2 linked regions of the Lonchura striata genome follow. The protein of the gene in region 2 purifies or fractionates together with the protein of the main gene of each other region. This does not show direct contact. Links are inferred from orthologs where the notes say so. Each region holds a gene or a part of one and is shown on either strand. Other genes may lie near its edges.

Evidence for each region.
Region 1: the proteins of TNIP2 (region 2) and TANK purify together in Homo sapiens (affinity purification with mass spectrometry; 3 studies listed by BioGRID and IntAct, with this or other methods). This does not show direct contact. The link is inferred for Lonchura striata from reciprocal best matches to the Homo sapiens genes TNIP2 and TANK.

What each region holds. Positions count from the first base shown.
Region 1 is NC_134610.1:16,853,347-16,860,843, forward strand, and holds the start of TANK (TRAF family member-associated NF-kappa-B activator), read left to right. Parts: upstream 1-4,453; 5' UTR 4,454-4,557; intron 4,558-7,497.
Region 2 is NC_134606.1:9,222,137-9,230,130, forward strand, and holds the start of TNIP2 (TNFAIP3-interacting protein 2), read right to left. Parts: upstream 3,287-7,994; coding exon 2,837-3,286; intron 779-2,836; coding exon 473-778; intron 1-472. UniProt on the Homo sapiens protein: Inhibits NF-kappa-B activation by blocking the interaction of RIPK1 with its downstream effector NEMO/IKBKG.

The DNA.
Region 1 (7,497 bases), on a different chromosome or scaffold from region 2:
TACTAACACAGGTCCATTAATGTAATGACTTTGCATGAACAGCTGTCTCTTCCTTCTCCCCAAACTTTGGAATTCTATGACACTACAGAAACAAAAATAATACTGCGGAGTCTGTGGTCTTGCTACATGACACAGCCCCCTTTTTTGTAGAAGAGGAAAAGAGGTCATAAGATTCCAGAAATTAAATATTTCAATTCAAATACATTTTCAATTCAAATACATTGATTTCTTCCACTCTTACTCCACACTGAAAACCTAAATAGAGGCTTGGGATCAAAAAACATTTAATAAATAGTACAAAGGTTCTGTTTATCAATCCTGTTTTCTTATATTAGATATTGTATATAATATAGTTCTATACAAATGAGCTATCAATTAATTAAATTTTAGCATGGAACAAAGGAAAAAGACCTATGTAATGTAGTTGATACCATAATATCTCACTTTTTCACATTGACAGATCTAGGGAATTAATGACTATATGTTAAATTTCCCGAATACTTGCCTCTATGGCAAAAAGGCACTCAAGCTAGAACATGAATTTTTCAAGGGTGTTTTCCCCACATTGTTCTACAGAACTCAATTTCAGTAGTTTGAGGGGAAGTGGGGAGAGACACAATTAGAATAAAACAGAGCTTAAGAGCCTGTCTAATAAAGTTCATTTGAAGCTTAACTAAGAATCAGTGGATTGGCTATTCTTCTCAAAGAAGCATTACACTCCTTGTCTTTTACTCCCTCTATATGTAACACAGGTTATATTCTATACAGAGGAATAACATTTGTTTTCTAAAGCTGTTGTAGTTTCTTTTGGTGTCATTATCATCACAGGTTTTTTCCTCACAATATATTAAAAAGTATGTATTCTATTTGTTCCAACAGTTGTATGTTAACCATTCCCATGCATACAGGGTTGCCTGTTCATGCACTGCTCCTTTTTTATGCAGGTTAGCCTTTCTCCAGGGTAGGGATCTTCCAGAAACCATTGACATCACTTACAGAAATAAAAAATGTTGCACTGGGTCCAAAACCAGTTTGCAGGCTGCCTCTGCTAAAGTCTCTGTTTCAAAGAATGACTGTCTGCACGCTGTTGCATTTAAGGAAGTTCTTCAGTTGGGTATTTCTCAGTGGAAGTTCCCAGCTAATATTAGTCATAAGCACAAAACCACATTTCATAATCCTGTTGATACTCCTCCAGGCAACATAAAGATTGCCTATACTGTTACCAAAGAGATGAGACAAGCAAATCCAAACTTTTTGTTCCTACACTTTTCTAATGAGTAAAATTAGATTTATCAACTTCAGCATTCAGACACATCGAAAAAGTATAAGACATTACTTTTATGTTGTTTATAGTGCTCCAAATCTATCTGTCTGCATTTTGATTAAATATCCTTTAGTTTCTGGTACCCACAAACTAATTTTGTCTGTTACAACCTATAGGTAAATTACATACTAAGGTTTACATAGGCTCATCAACTATTATTCTTGATGTTGGGAAAAAAATAATCAGCCTCAACTTCCTTCACGCTATGAAACGACAACATTTGGTCTAAATCCACAGTTCTCATTTTCTGACCAGGAAAGGCATTTCAAGATCAAAACATGCTTTTTATTTTGTTAAAGCAGCAAGAGACTAAAAGAACGGTGAAACACCCCAGAGCAACAGAGACTTCCAGCACCCCGCACACTCCTTTGGGACCACAGTCTCAAAGTTCTGGAAAAGGTTTAACATCTGACGTGAGCCACCTAGCGTCTGAACGAATGGCTACATTAAAAACTTGCAACAAACATTTTAACCTCTTTCTAGTAGAAGCCAATTTGCATTTATAAGCTTAGAGAATCATAAAAAGGAATCAGATGAAACCTTTGATGAACTCCAGCCCTTTGCCAGCTGCTCCAGCAGCAGCCTCTCCCGAAAGCAGTGAGTTCCTCCCCGGGCCCCACGCAGTGTAACCAAGAGCACAGTGTTAACTCATCAGCACAGACTGTTAAAATACCATTTCAGAAGTAATGTAAAAAAGCAAACTGTATATAGATGATGTAAGTATTTAAATACACTGATTGACCCACTGAGCACAAACTTGAATTTTCACAATAAAAAAAGTATCAACTTGCTAGTTCCCAATCACCAAGAAAAAAAAAAAAAAACAAACAAAAAAAATCCAAACAAAATCCCCTACCAAGAACAAAAAAACACCCCACTCTAAATTTCTAAACATAAGTAGTCAAAGTAAGACTTTCTCTGACTCTGAACACAAAGTAAAATAAAATATTAAAAACAGAAAGCCCTGCACCACCACTCCCAAAGCCCAGATAAGTGATTTGCAACTGCTTTTAAGATAACTAGATTCCTAAAATCCTAAATAATTTTTATATACACTGATAAGTGCTTCTTCTTTCAGCTGTCTTATGTGGACTACATACAGGAAAACAATCATGCCTTGACAATGACATAAAAGTGTGAAAGATTGATGTGGGGTAGAAATACAGAAAGCTGTTCCTGGAAAAGCTGTAGGGAAGGGAACACAGAGACAAAAGAGGAGAAAGTAAAAAAACAAAGAAAAAGAAAGCAAGATTAAGAAGAAAAGGACATAAAGTAATTTAGTAATTGAGCAAAGCAGAAAATACTCTAAAAGATCAGAGATCAATTTAGCTATGAAATAGAGGTTTTGTACTATTTTCATGGGTATTTTTCTTTTCTTCAATTTAGTTTATTCAAAGGTTGGAGGTCTCTAGGATTATCAAGATGGATTACTTTAAAGGTTGTAAAATATACCTTATTGTATTGGGGGAAGAAATCTAAAGAAAGAAGGCACTAAATAATGAAAAGAGAGGAAAAACCAGCTTCTCCCATGAGAAAGAATATTACTGTGAAAGAATATTACTGATAAAGCACTAAGACATTAATGCATGTTCTTTGAAAAGTCATGTGTGTAGACAGTTGTCAGTATTGAGTTGCTGAGATTGAGATCTTCACAGTAAATTTACATTAAGTACGTTCCAAGAATTAAATAAGCAATTTTTTCCCCTAAAACAACTAACATGCAATGGTAGTATTTCAGAGGTGGTATACATGTTCTGGCTATTTGAATTCAGGTAGCCATAATTTTAGTTGAGGCATGCTTAACCACCAGACAACACCCACTTGTGCTTTTCTGCATATTATCCCTTCTTAAATATAGCATAAGTTAAATTATATTGCATCTGAATTTAAGAAATTCAGGTTATGTTTCAGCTGAGATATCCATTATAATTTTAAGTGCACAACTACTTGCCAAAACTGACTAAAAATGTAACATGTAGAATTAAAAGAGAAACAATAGCCTTTTTTGCCCACACCCTAATTTATTTTTTAAGACCCCGTTGAATGAAACCTTAACTTGGACGTCTCAAGCACTGTCTCTGAAAAAGGAAATTGAATTCCCCTTTCTTGGAAATACGTTAAAAGAGCAAACTCTCTCTGAATCTTAATAATTCATTAGGACCTCACCTTAAGTTCTTAAAAATGGCCAAACAGGAAGTATATTGATAGGCTCATTCACCTCTCTGCCTGTAAGTCTCTTTAGCCTTAGTACAGGCCAAAACAGACCAAAAGAGAAGCTGAAGTCTCTGCAGGAAAGATAAATTATAATATAAATAATCTTCAAAAGAGCACAGAAAGCAACAGCTAGCTATTTCTGTGGCGATGTTTGAGCTCAATCCTCAGGATTCCAAGGGCAGCTGCCCAGGGTAGTAGGTAGGCTGTAATAGGTGGAATGCAAGTTCTGATCCATGAGTGAACAAACCAAAAAGCTCTGCCCTAGAAGAAACACCACAGCTCGGCTGCATGCATATGTTCACTGGGGTTCAGAGACAGATGAGATTAAATGAAAATCTGCAGTGCTTCTCTGCCGCTGGCTCTGTGATGGTATACTGGGCAAGTATGTACAAATGCCTCGTGTTCTCCCATCCTCCTACACACCTTCAGGGAAAAAAAAGCTGTATTTATACACGTGACCTAAAGAGAGAAGGGCTTGTAGCAGTAGCAAAATTAAAACCGTATGTTTCCACTATCATCTTACCTATAGTATTCATTGCCTACATTAAATAAACGCAGGCAGGGAAATGCCTCAGTAGTAACCTACAACAGAGAGAACTACCCTGAGCATGAAAAGTAAATATACTTTTATATACAAATGTAACTACTGTTATTTACAAATCACTCTTAAGTCATGGAAAGACAGAAATAGGAAAGTGCTGTGGACTTCGGGAGCAGCACAGAGGCTGCTTGAGCGGTCTTCCGCAGCCAGGCAGAAGAGGCACTGCCCGACAGCAGAGGCGAGCGGACCGGCTCCCATCCTCGCGCGGGGCGGACAAGGACGGCGCCGTCCCCGCGCGAACCCGGCACCTCCGGCGGCCGCCGCCCTGCCCTGCCCCGACCCGGGGCCGGCGCGGGCAGCGCCCCGTCACAGGGCGGGGAGAGGCACGGCAGGAAGTCGCTTCTGGTTCCTGGGTTAAGGCGCCCGGGCAGGAGCGAGCGCCCTTGCCGGGAGCGGCCGCGGGCTCCGTGAGGCGCTCGTAAGTCTGAGTCGTTTTGGAAACCACGCGCTCCTGGCGCTCCCGCGGGAGCGGCGGCGCTCGGCCCGGGGCCGCACGGCGCACCAGGGCATCCCGAGCCGGGCATCCCGACCGGGGCTGCCGGGCCGCGCTTCCGCCCCCCGCTCCCGGGGCTGCCGCTTCCCGCTCGGCCCGGCTCGGGAGCGGGGCCGGGGCCGCGTCGTTCGCGAGCGGAGGCGCTCCGGGAGCGGGGAATCGGGGGACGGGATCAGCGGGCTCGCTGCCGGGAGGCGATGGCCCGGGCGGGCGAGCGCAGGAGCAGGAAGAGGCGGCTGCCCCCGCGGGCAGCGGCGGCGCGGCGGGGGGAGCGGAGCCCAGCGCCCCGGGAATCGCCGTCCCGAGCCCTGAGCGCACGGCGGCTGCCCAGCTCTAACGCTGCTGCCGTGCCACGAGGGGCTCCTGCTGTGTTAACGACGCATCCGCCGTCGGGCAAAGCAGGAATTGTGTCTACTCAGAAAAAAACAAGGGAAAAAACAAAACACAAAAAAGTTCAATGAGCTCTCAGTATCTCACAAATGATTAACTCAACAGACTTCCAGTTCCCGAGATGATGGCAGTGTAACTTAGAAAATATAGCAATCGAAAATTCTGTTTTGAGAGCAGAAATATGTAGAGTACTTGTGGTTGGGTGGCACCTGTGTTCTCATCTCTCATGAAACTATGGGAGATAGGAAAGTGTATTATGAATTAATGTGCATATACACATGATTAGCTAAAACCTTTCATAATTTAAGGTGGTTTTTGAGGCGGTATGAAAACTAGTATGAAAACTAGTGAGCTGTGAGCTGGGATTGCAGCAGAAACATGTTGCTAATCTTTGTGTTGGAGCTTTTTTGGCATTTGACTAAGAAAATGCATATTACTACTCCTTTTCTTCCCACTACCTATATCAGCAAAATGTTTCTGATTTTAAGCAAGTATTTTAATATAAACTGCAGGTTTCATTTGTTGTTTACTTAGAAGTTTGTTTTACAACATTAGCTGTACCCAGTGATTATCCAGTATACAAGTCTTTACTCAAATATGAAATTCCACTTGTCATTGCCATAGCTCCAGCAGCATAGCACTCACAGGTGTTCAGACTTTCAGAACAACCTCTATAACTAATCTCTTCCTTTAATTCTGTCCCTGTTAAAGATCAGGATTGTCAGCTTTGAGCTGAATTATGTTCCAGCTGCAATTTAGGTACAGCATAACTAATCATAACTAATTTAAATAGCAGGGGTATTTGGGTTGGGGTTTTTTGGTTTGTTGGTTTTTGGGGGGTTTTTTTAGGGCTGTTGGGAGGGAGTTTTTTCCTCCTCATTGGATGCAGGGAGAAGGGTAAATGACAAGGAACAGTTGGCAAATTCCCTGATAAATATTGATGCCTATGGAGGAGAAGCAGGAAAATGAGCCAGTTTTTCTAACTGCAAGGAGTTCTGGATACGAGACAGATAACATAAGAAGCAGTTATTTATTCCAGCAGCAGGCAACCCGGGGTGTGACTACAGAGTAGTTTAATCCAATCTAAATCTAGACTGCGGCAGTCCTGCCCACGGCTAGTCGCATGTTCCCACTGCCTCCTTGTGCTGGTAGTAGTGCTCCAGCAGCCTTGCAGTGAGCTAGCTCCAGTTTTAATTTTGAGATTGGTTTTTTTAGGGGGTTTGTTGTTGCTTTTTTGAGGACGTAGGGAGCTACTTTGGTATACTCAACTGTGTAGCATAGAAGTACTGCTAGCGGTATCAGTAAGCAGCAAAAATGCATGGCCAGAGATGGGAAAAGCTGGCCTATCCTGCTCAGTGCAGACTTGTGACACTGTTACACAACTCTGACTTTGTGTTACAATTCAAAGCCAGTGCTGCTGTTGAGCACAGGAGTTCTGTGTGCCTATTGCTGAGTTCTGTCCCTGTACAGGCTTCCTTGTGTTATCGTGCCATTTGAAGTGGTCTGTGGATCTGACCTGCATTAAAATTAATGTGGAAAAAATATATTCAGTATTTAGTTTTAAACTACATTGGTTTACTGATACAGTTTACAGAAAGGTTTCTCATGCTGGAAGAAAGGGAAGGGTAAGGTCAAAGAAGAATATCTAGGGTATGGGGTGAATATAGGACCAATTCTTCTAGTTAAAATGCCATCTTAAAGTGTCACTAGTAGTGACTTTCAGTGACCTTTCTTTGCATGGAGTCTGAAGTTTAGGGAGCTACCAGTAAGTTATTTTTCCATACCAAGTAGAAAATCAGGCACTGTGCTATAGTTCTGCCTGTTGGATCAATTACTTTTGATACCATCAGTACAAATGACAGCAGCGCTCTTTGTTAATGTTCCCAGTCACAATGAATGACTAAAAGGCTGGAAATTAGGTATAAGTTTTAAATATTGTTGCTCAAATAGAGGTTTGAGTTTGCATGAATGAAATAAAAACTTTCATTTTCTGTGAACTGTGAGTCACATGGAGCTGATCCCTCTTCTCTCCATTAGAAGCTGAACATAGTTTCTTAGATCCCATTGCACTCATTTTTTGAAGTTATCTCATATGTATAGGACATGCCATTTACTAGGTAAGTTGTTAACAGTGGAGGATTTCAGAAGAGTACAAAATCAATACTGATGCAAACTTCACGAGCTTTTAAAGATTGTGAGAACACACTTCCAGTCACTTTCAGCTATAACAATGCCCTCTGCAGTTTAGCACCTGTCCCTCAAGGCAGATACCTTATTTTATTAATTGAATTACACAGAACAGTCCTTCATCTGAAAAGGAAAGAAAGCCTACCCATTTCATTAAAGATATGCCCTAGATATGAGCATGAATATTCTGTTTATTGAAGGGATACTGTTTGGGGGAGGAAGGAGATGGATGAAGTAGCCTGTGGTACTAACAATGCTTTGAGACGCTATGTGTTGTCGGGGGTTATG
Region 2 (7,994 bases):
ATCCAAGAAGACCATATGTTACAGAGTTCTTAATATAAATACTACTTTAAAATATCTCTACTTTGTTTTGTGATTTTGATACTTAAACAAGTTATCAGGAGAGATCAGCTTCAAAATCACAGCACCATCTAGTGCTGCACAGAAGCAGGGGTGGTATAAGGTAGGTACTATCTCCTGTGTATTGAGGGAAGAACTGTGATCATGGAATTGCTGAGGCTGGACAAAACCTCTCAAGTTCTTCTCCTCTCCAAAAAAAAGCCTCTGTTGATGAGATGGCCAAAGTTGAAGTGGTAAACAACTGCTACCATCCTAAATTTCAGATATGCAGAATTATTTACCATTGCCATGGCAGTCTTAACACCCTGCATGAAATTATTTTAAGGGCCATTTCCCAGTTACAACTATTATATTCTAATTAACATCATAGAAGCTAATAAGACTTTAAAGACACACACAGTAGCTGTATAAATACCTGATTAGATCTTTCTGTAGGTATCTGGTCATCTGAATTCCCCTTCTCTTTTCTTTGCTTCTCTTCTAGACATTTTGCCAGATGTTGACACATTTCTGCTGTGGATGCTAATTTGCGTTGAAGTTGGTGAGTTTCATCAGTGAGTGAACGGCACAAAACATCACTGGTGGCCTGAGCCTTCTCCCTCTCTGCCAAAGTCTTCTGCAGTCGTAAGATTTCTCTCTCCTTTTCATACGGAGGCTGATTTATCATCTGCTGTATCTCTCCATTTTTCTCCTCTAGCTGCTGATTCAACTTCTGCACTTCCTAAACAGAGGGGGGAGGGGAAGTTATCTAAGAGCAAAATAAAGTCAAAAGCCAAAATCTATCTCAGACTTCAATATTGCAGTAATTCCTTATAGCTCCTGTATTCATTGCAAAGTACTTAAAAACTAGACTAAATCAATTTCATTTCTGTATGATCACAAGACCTTGGAATTGTTGGATCAATCAATGAAGACCTGCTCAGGCAGCCATGCAAGCACTTTCTAATCAGTAGAATGGAGAACAAGCAGCAAAAATTCAGGAAGATTTTATGACTATACAGCAGTAAGAAAAACAAGAAACAAAGTAATTTAAGATTAATAAATGTGGAGACTGAAAAATACTTACAGGTCCTGTACACTAAACTACCAGATAATAGAGATTTTCCTCAAAAGAAAAAAAAGGAACTGTAAAGTAATCAAATCCAGTGAAGTGTATTCACTGCCTGGCACTGTCACAAGGACAAGACAGAGCAACTTTCCCACCTAGGAAAGGATGGGAGTGGTAAGGTAAGGTCAAACCAGCAGAAAATAAAATCCATGTGGCAGCAGTGGCTCTAGTTTGGCCACAGCTGCCTCCCAGGTACATGAGGGGGTCTGACACTCCCCTAGGAATCAACTGTGTATCTTGTTTCTGCATCTCCTTGTCCTACTGGAAGTTCTGTGGGATCATCTACACTGCATTAACATCTCTGCAGGTGTTCTGAGAAGGAAGGGGTTTGCTTGGTGACTGGTGCAAACCACCTGTAGTGCCATGCACCTGAAAGGCACTGGTTCTGACCTGGTACACAAACAAGCTGGTTTTTACACACCCTCAAGAAGCAGCAGGTGCTGCTATCAAAACCTCTGCAGCACTGCTCCTCCAGAATCAAGGGTCTCTGGAGGCAAGTGCAGACATGAGACAGCTGCAATCCCAGCTCTATCATTCCAGTTCTTAGGACTGCTAATAGAGCTGTAAATCACTAGGAACACTATTTGCCAGCACACTGGCCTCTGGCTTCACACAAATATCTTCTTTATTTGGTTATTATTTAGTGCCAATTATTTCAGCCTTCTGATTGGGCACAGCATTTTATTCTTTCAAGACATGAACATTAACATCTGATATAGATAAACAGCACTTGTTCTTATTACTGGCATTTACATTCTTTAGCTTCATGCTGAATGCTAAACTTCCCCTTTAAAGATATTCAGCATCAGCTTTCAAATATGTTCAGATACCATAGGTTTGTCATCTGTCTGCAAAGTGTCAGTGAGCTCATCTCTTATAACAAATTTCCAAACATGAACTTTTTAATATGTATTTTAGGTGAGTGTCATATATGGAAAATGTTTTGTATAAGCTTTAGGTCAAGAGATTACTTATGACAAAAATGCTTGTTTCAGTTTTAAGTACTGCTGTCAGTTTTGAAATTACTTCATACTTTAAAAATCTTTGAGAATTTCAGACTGAACCTGGGGAAGTCTTAATGACAGTAACCAAAACAGCACTTGTGCTGGATTTGGAGGGATTCAGTTTTCAGGTTTTTTTCTTTCAAGAAAGACACCGATTTCCCTAATCTAGCTCTCCAGAATTGTCAGCTGCTTCTTCGAATATGAATCTGCTACCTCATTGTCAATACAAATTCCATTTTTAAGAGCACTTTAAGCACAACACTTTAACGGAAAAATTCGTGGCATCGGCTCCTTATCTTTGAGAACAAAATCGTTGCATCTAATAAATTCAGCGAGTTTTTTACTGTTTTTCTTTCTCCTTCTGAAAACAGTTGCATGAAGATGCTGAGTTTTTGGTTTAGATTTTATGGTTTGCCTTTCTGAAGGGAACGCAGGGGGCGCTCCCTTTGAACACAAACGGGCCGGTTGTTTCGGGCCCCCGGGGCCGGAGCGGGCATCGCTCGAAGGGGCTCAAACCCTCGTCCCGCTGCCGGCGCTGGCTCGCAGCACCCAGCGGGCGCTCCGGGCGCACCCTCCGCCCGCAGCCGCCCCGGTGCCCGGCTCCCGAGGGAGCAGCGCGGAAAGCGGCGCTGATGCTGCGCCGCTCCCTGCGCGCCCGCGGCTTTACCTGGCTCAGCGCCTCCACTCTCCGCGCCGAGAGCCGCTCGCTGTCCCGCAGCTGCTCGCGGGCCTGCTCCAGCTGCTCCAGCAGGCTCTCCACCAGCGAGCGGGCCGGCTCCGCGCCCGCCGCCGCATCCCCGCCCGGCGCCGCGGGCTGCCGCTGCCGGGCCAGGCTGCCCCGCAGCTCCCGGATCGTCGCCTCCTTGGCCGCCAGCTGCAGCTGGAGGTGCTTCAGCTGCTGCGCGGACTCGTGGTACAAGGTGCAGAGCGCGTTGTACCGAGGCACTTTATTCTTCAAGCTCCTGTTTTCCCGGTGGAGTTTCTCCAGCGTCTCCTCCACCTGCCTGAAGCGGGTCACCAAGGGGTCTGTGCTGCCGGCCTCGCTTACCGAGCACATGGCCGGGGCAGCTCCCTTCTGTTCCTTCTCCAGGGCGAGCAGGAGCCCGGACAGGTGCATAAAACCTCGCAGCGGAGCAGCACCGAGGCAGCGGCTCCGCTCTTCCGCCTTCCCCGCCGGGGGAGGAGGCGGCCGCTCCCTTTAAGGGCTCGCAGGACCCGCCCGTGCCGCCGCTGTTTTCTCCGGCCGGGGCCGGGCCGGGCGGCGCTCCGCCCCCGGGGAGAACCCCGGGCGGGCAGGGAGCTGTTTCCCCCGCGGCCAGAGCGGGACACGGCCCCGGGGGCAGCGCTGCCCGGGGAACCCCGGCAGGGCCGAGCCGGAGAACCGGCACCGGGGGCGGGGGGAGAAACCTGGGGGCGAGGGAGGGGGCGAGCGGGAGGCTCCGAGGGCAGGGGAATCCCGGCCGGGCGAGCGGAACGCGGGCAGCGGCTCCGGGGGGCGGCGCGGGCCAGGAGGGTCCCGGGGGCTGGCGGGCGGCGCTGGCTCCGGAGCGAAAGCCCCGGAGCGCCGCGTCCTCCCGGCGCCGCTGCGGGAATTCCCGGCTCGGAGCGGGACTTTCCCCGCTGGCGGCGACCCTCGGGCTCTCCGCTCTCCCGCTCCGTCTGCCCGAGCGGCCCCGGCGGCAGCAGGAGGAGAAACGCCAATATCTTCTCTCTGGCAATCCTCTGTTGGTGTTGTGCCGGCATCGCTGGCGAGGGGATGGCTCCGGACCCAGGCAGAGCAGCATGTCCCCCCTCGCATGCCGCATACCTGGCCAGGTGTACGAGTCTTTCCTTAGCAAAGACCTCGAAGACACCAAAATCCAAAATTCAGATTCGTCAAAATCCGTATCACCAACCAGTGCGTGTACTCTGAGGATGAGTTGATGAGAGCAAAATCAGCTGCTTCACACTGAATAAGCTGCTGCCCACCGGCTGCCCCTGTGGCGGAAGACTTTTTTATTGGCAGCATAGAACAGAGCTTGTTAATCAAGAATATCCCTGTCATGGAGTAACACTGGTGTACATACTCATAGACTATGGAAAGCTGGACTGAAAGAAGGCGTCTTTTGGATTGGTTTAGTTATGTCCATGTCGCCTTTCTGATGGAACCAAGTGGGAGGAAAGAGCCTTAAACCAGTACAAGAATAAGTCCCAGGTTACATTTGGTTATGATTTGCAATAGTATTTATTGTATGTATGTGCATGCATGTGTATCATAATGTGTACAACATGGAGCTCCATGTGTGCGTGCAGCCTTAAGGTTCAGCACAATCATGGGAGATTTGTCTGGCCTAAGTGCCTAAAATACAGCAAGTGGAAATCATCACATGCTGCTGGTGGAGGCAGCAAAAAGAAAAGACTTTAGACAATGTGATAAAGAGCAGCCTCCTGTGTTGGCAGGTCTCGGGATAAAAAGAGAGCAAAGACTAATTTGTGTGGAAGAATTTACAGGAATGGGAACATGATGAAAGGAAAAGATGGTGAACTTCAAAGTTGAGACTGTCAGTCACCCTGGTGATGGATAAAGACCTCCTGAAGTTCCTCTTATAATGAATTATCCTGTGATTTAATCAAGTTTTTTGAGGTGGAAAGTCATTACTTTGTCACCTTAATTATTCTAGTAAGAATTGGGAGTAATAAATTCAAAACAGTCTGTTAGCTTAGTTGTTTCTAAAAATATAACTGATTTTTATAGGAGCTTGTTGCACAGAGACCCCTGTGTGACAGAAAAGAGTAAAGCACTTGTTTATGGTACAGGTCCCTGGCTTATTTGCTATTTCACCTAATTTTGTAAGTATCAAAGGATTTAGGACAATGAAAAATCTGTGTGGAGGTTGAGGGAATATAATTTTTTAGTTTTTACTCGTACAGAGTGGTATTCTACATCCTTAAGATGCTGATTTTGCCGTGAAGAAAGTTCCTGCTTTAAAATACCTGTACTTTTCCCGTCATTTTCATGTACATTAGAAAGAAAAGTGAAAAAACCACATAGGCTTCATGTTACATTTTCATTATTGTGTTGCAGTCAGAGCTAACTGAAGAATTTGGAGCAAGACTGCTTTTGCTGGCTGTCAAAATATTTTGTAGAAATGTATGAAAAAGCCATGGTACTGGAGAATTGTTTGTTTTCCTGCCAATTAATTCACAAACTACAAGGAAATTTGGCCATCCCATGTTTGCAGATAGGGCAGTGATATCCTCAGACCAAGCATCAGGGAATTTCGTTAGCAGCCAAATCGAATCCTTTATAATATAGCTACCTTTGTAGTATTGTGTTAGTATATTACAATTAAGCATTACTTAATTTTATGGTAAATTATTTAAAATTAAGCATTACTTAATTTTATGGTACTTAATTTTATGGAAAATTTGGTATTACTGGTGCCTTGGATGAAGCCAGCATTCCCCCAGGAAAACACCACTGACTTTAGGGAAATTTGACCTACGTAAGTGCTGAGTAAGAAGCTAATCCCACATGTACTTGGGAATGCCCTTCGATGACTGTTTCCTTTTGTCACTTCTGAAATGCAGAGGAATTCCTGGGAATTCAGTCAAAGAAGCTGCTGCCAAAGAATGAGTCACATCTCGCCATGTTTCTAGCACCTGGCTTTTCCTGGATTGCCTTTCCTGCACCCTTACCCAGATTGCTGATAAAGCAGCTGGTTTGTGCTGTGGCACACTTATTCTTTGGGTTGCACAATCATAATTGGTTATTAAATATTGTATGAACAACAGGTATGCTCTGCATGACAATATAAAGAAAAAAAACTTTATTTTCCATACTGTACTGGTTTCAACATTAAATATAAGGTGAAGTTCACTTTAACTTTTTCTCAGTAGGGTGTTACAGGATAGATGTGATTAAACCCATATGGGAAAAATTTAACCTCAGATTTTGTTAAAGAACTCTTAACAAAGCTGTTTTGAATGAGTAATTATGTGCACATCACAACTTATTATAATGTGTGAGATGCGTGAAAAAAAGGGATTAGATACTGCCTAGAAACAAAAGGTGAAGCTGCTTCTAGGAAAGCAGAAAATAAAAACGGTGAACAGTATGATTAATTAAAGGTTCATAAATGTACATATATTTCAATTTTAATTTTTAAGCATGAGTTATGTGTTTGGGGTAAGGATAATTCATCTAAATGTAGCAGTTCTATTTCTGTAGCATTGGTGAAAGTCTTGTGAGTCGTTTGTATTTAAAAGAGTAATTATCCGTGGACAAGAGTATACAACATAATGGAGGGGTCCTGCCGTTTTATAAATAGTGACCTCTGCTCAATTTGTAAGAAATCGTAATTTTTTACTTGTGAACTCTAGATGTCATTCAGCCAATCAAGCTGTGGTTTACCCTATTGTCTTAAGTTACCACTAATTGTCCTGGAGGGTAAGTTGTGACATAATGATACTTAAAAAGAGTTAGAATTGTCTTGAGGTAATTTACCTAAACAGAGCTTATTAGAAATTAATATGTGATCCTCTGGCTGCTGTAGGCTGAAAATAACCCACCAATAAATTCCTTTGCTGTAGATCATGCAGTGCAAGAGGGGGAAAAATAACCTGCAAAATAATCTGATATACTCCCTGCTACATAAGATGCTGCCAGAGAGCTCTGTGTGTGACCAAAAATCTGATTTTCATGCTAAACAACTGAAATGTTGGTGCTTTTGTGACTCATAGATCAACAATAATTATGAGCTGCAGGCATGTTTGTACTTCCATGGGCAGGACTAAACATCCTCTCTATACATCACTGTGTTGGATGTTCTGATGAGACAATGTTCGACATATTTTACTGCTGGAATGACAAACTCACTGAGAGGTTGGCCAGAGGGCTGCCAGGATTCCCAAAACTGGATGAACTCATTGCTGTGATATACATATGTGGCCATCTCTCTGCACTGAGGCTCTGACTTGGAACAAAACATTACTTTTTCAGTCTTGGTTTCTGTTTACACACATCAAAATATTTACTTTAGCTAGGGAAAATAGAGTGGGGTCTATTTATTTCTAATGTAAGATTTTTCCCTGCTTTGTTGGTATGGTGGTGGTGCTGATGGTTTTGGTGGGGGTTTTTTGTTGTTGTTTTTTGGGGGTTTTTTGTTTAGGTATTTTTTTGGTGTGGGGTTTTTGTTTGTTTGTTTTGTTTGGGTTGTTGTTGTTTTGTTTTTGGTTTTTGCATAGTTTGCCTTTTTGGAGGATGTAAAAACCAAAAGTGTTCTGATGCAGAGGGCAGAGTCCCAGGGCCCTGTTCTTAATCAAAGTAAGGCTGAAATAACCAGGATGAGCCATACAAAGCCATGACATTGGTCAGATCCATAGCAGTCCCAGCACTTTTCTCTAAAAGGAATTTCTTTCATATTTCTGTGGACTAAGGTGGTTCAGTCTCACCATAAGGGTGTCAGTGGCTAAGCTGGATACACTCTTGTCTGGGTCTGTCACAAGTCCTTGATCTGTTTGTGTCCATGTCAGGGCAAGAGCTTTCTGCTATGCTTTGTTTTTCCTCAATGCTTTGGGTCTTTGCTGCAGTTCACCCTCCTGTGCTTACTGGCTGTATGTTCAGTATTTCAGACCCTGCTTTGGCTTCCCCTGCATTGTCTCACTTCTGCAGTTTCTCTTTGGTGTGCTCATGGCACAGCAGTACCAGTTGCCTCAGTCTGACCTTGCAGACTGGAATTTCTTGCAGTGCTGATGCTGCCCCTGCATCCAAGAAGTTCAAGCAGTTTCCTTGTTCCTTTAGAAAACCTTATCATGATGTCACTGCTTTTTGAGCTGTGATTCTA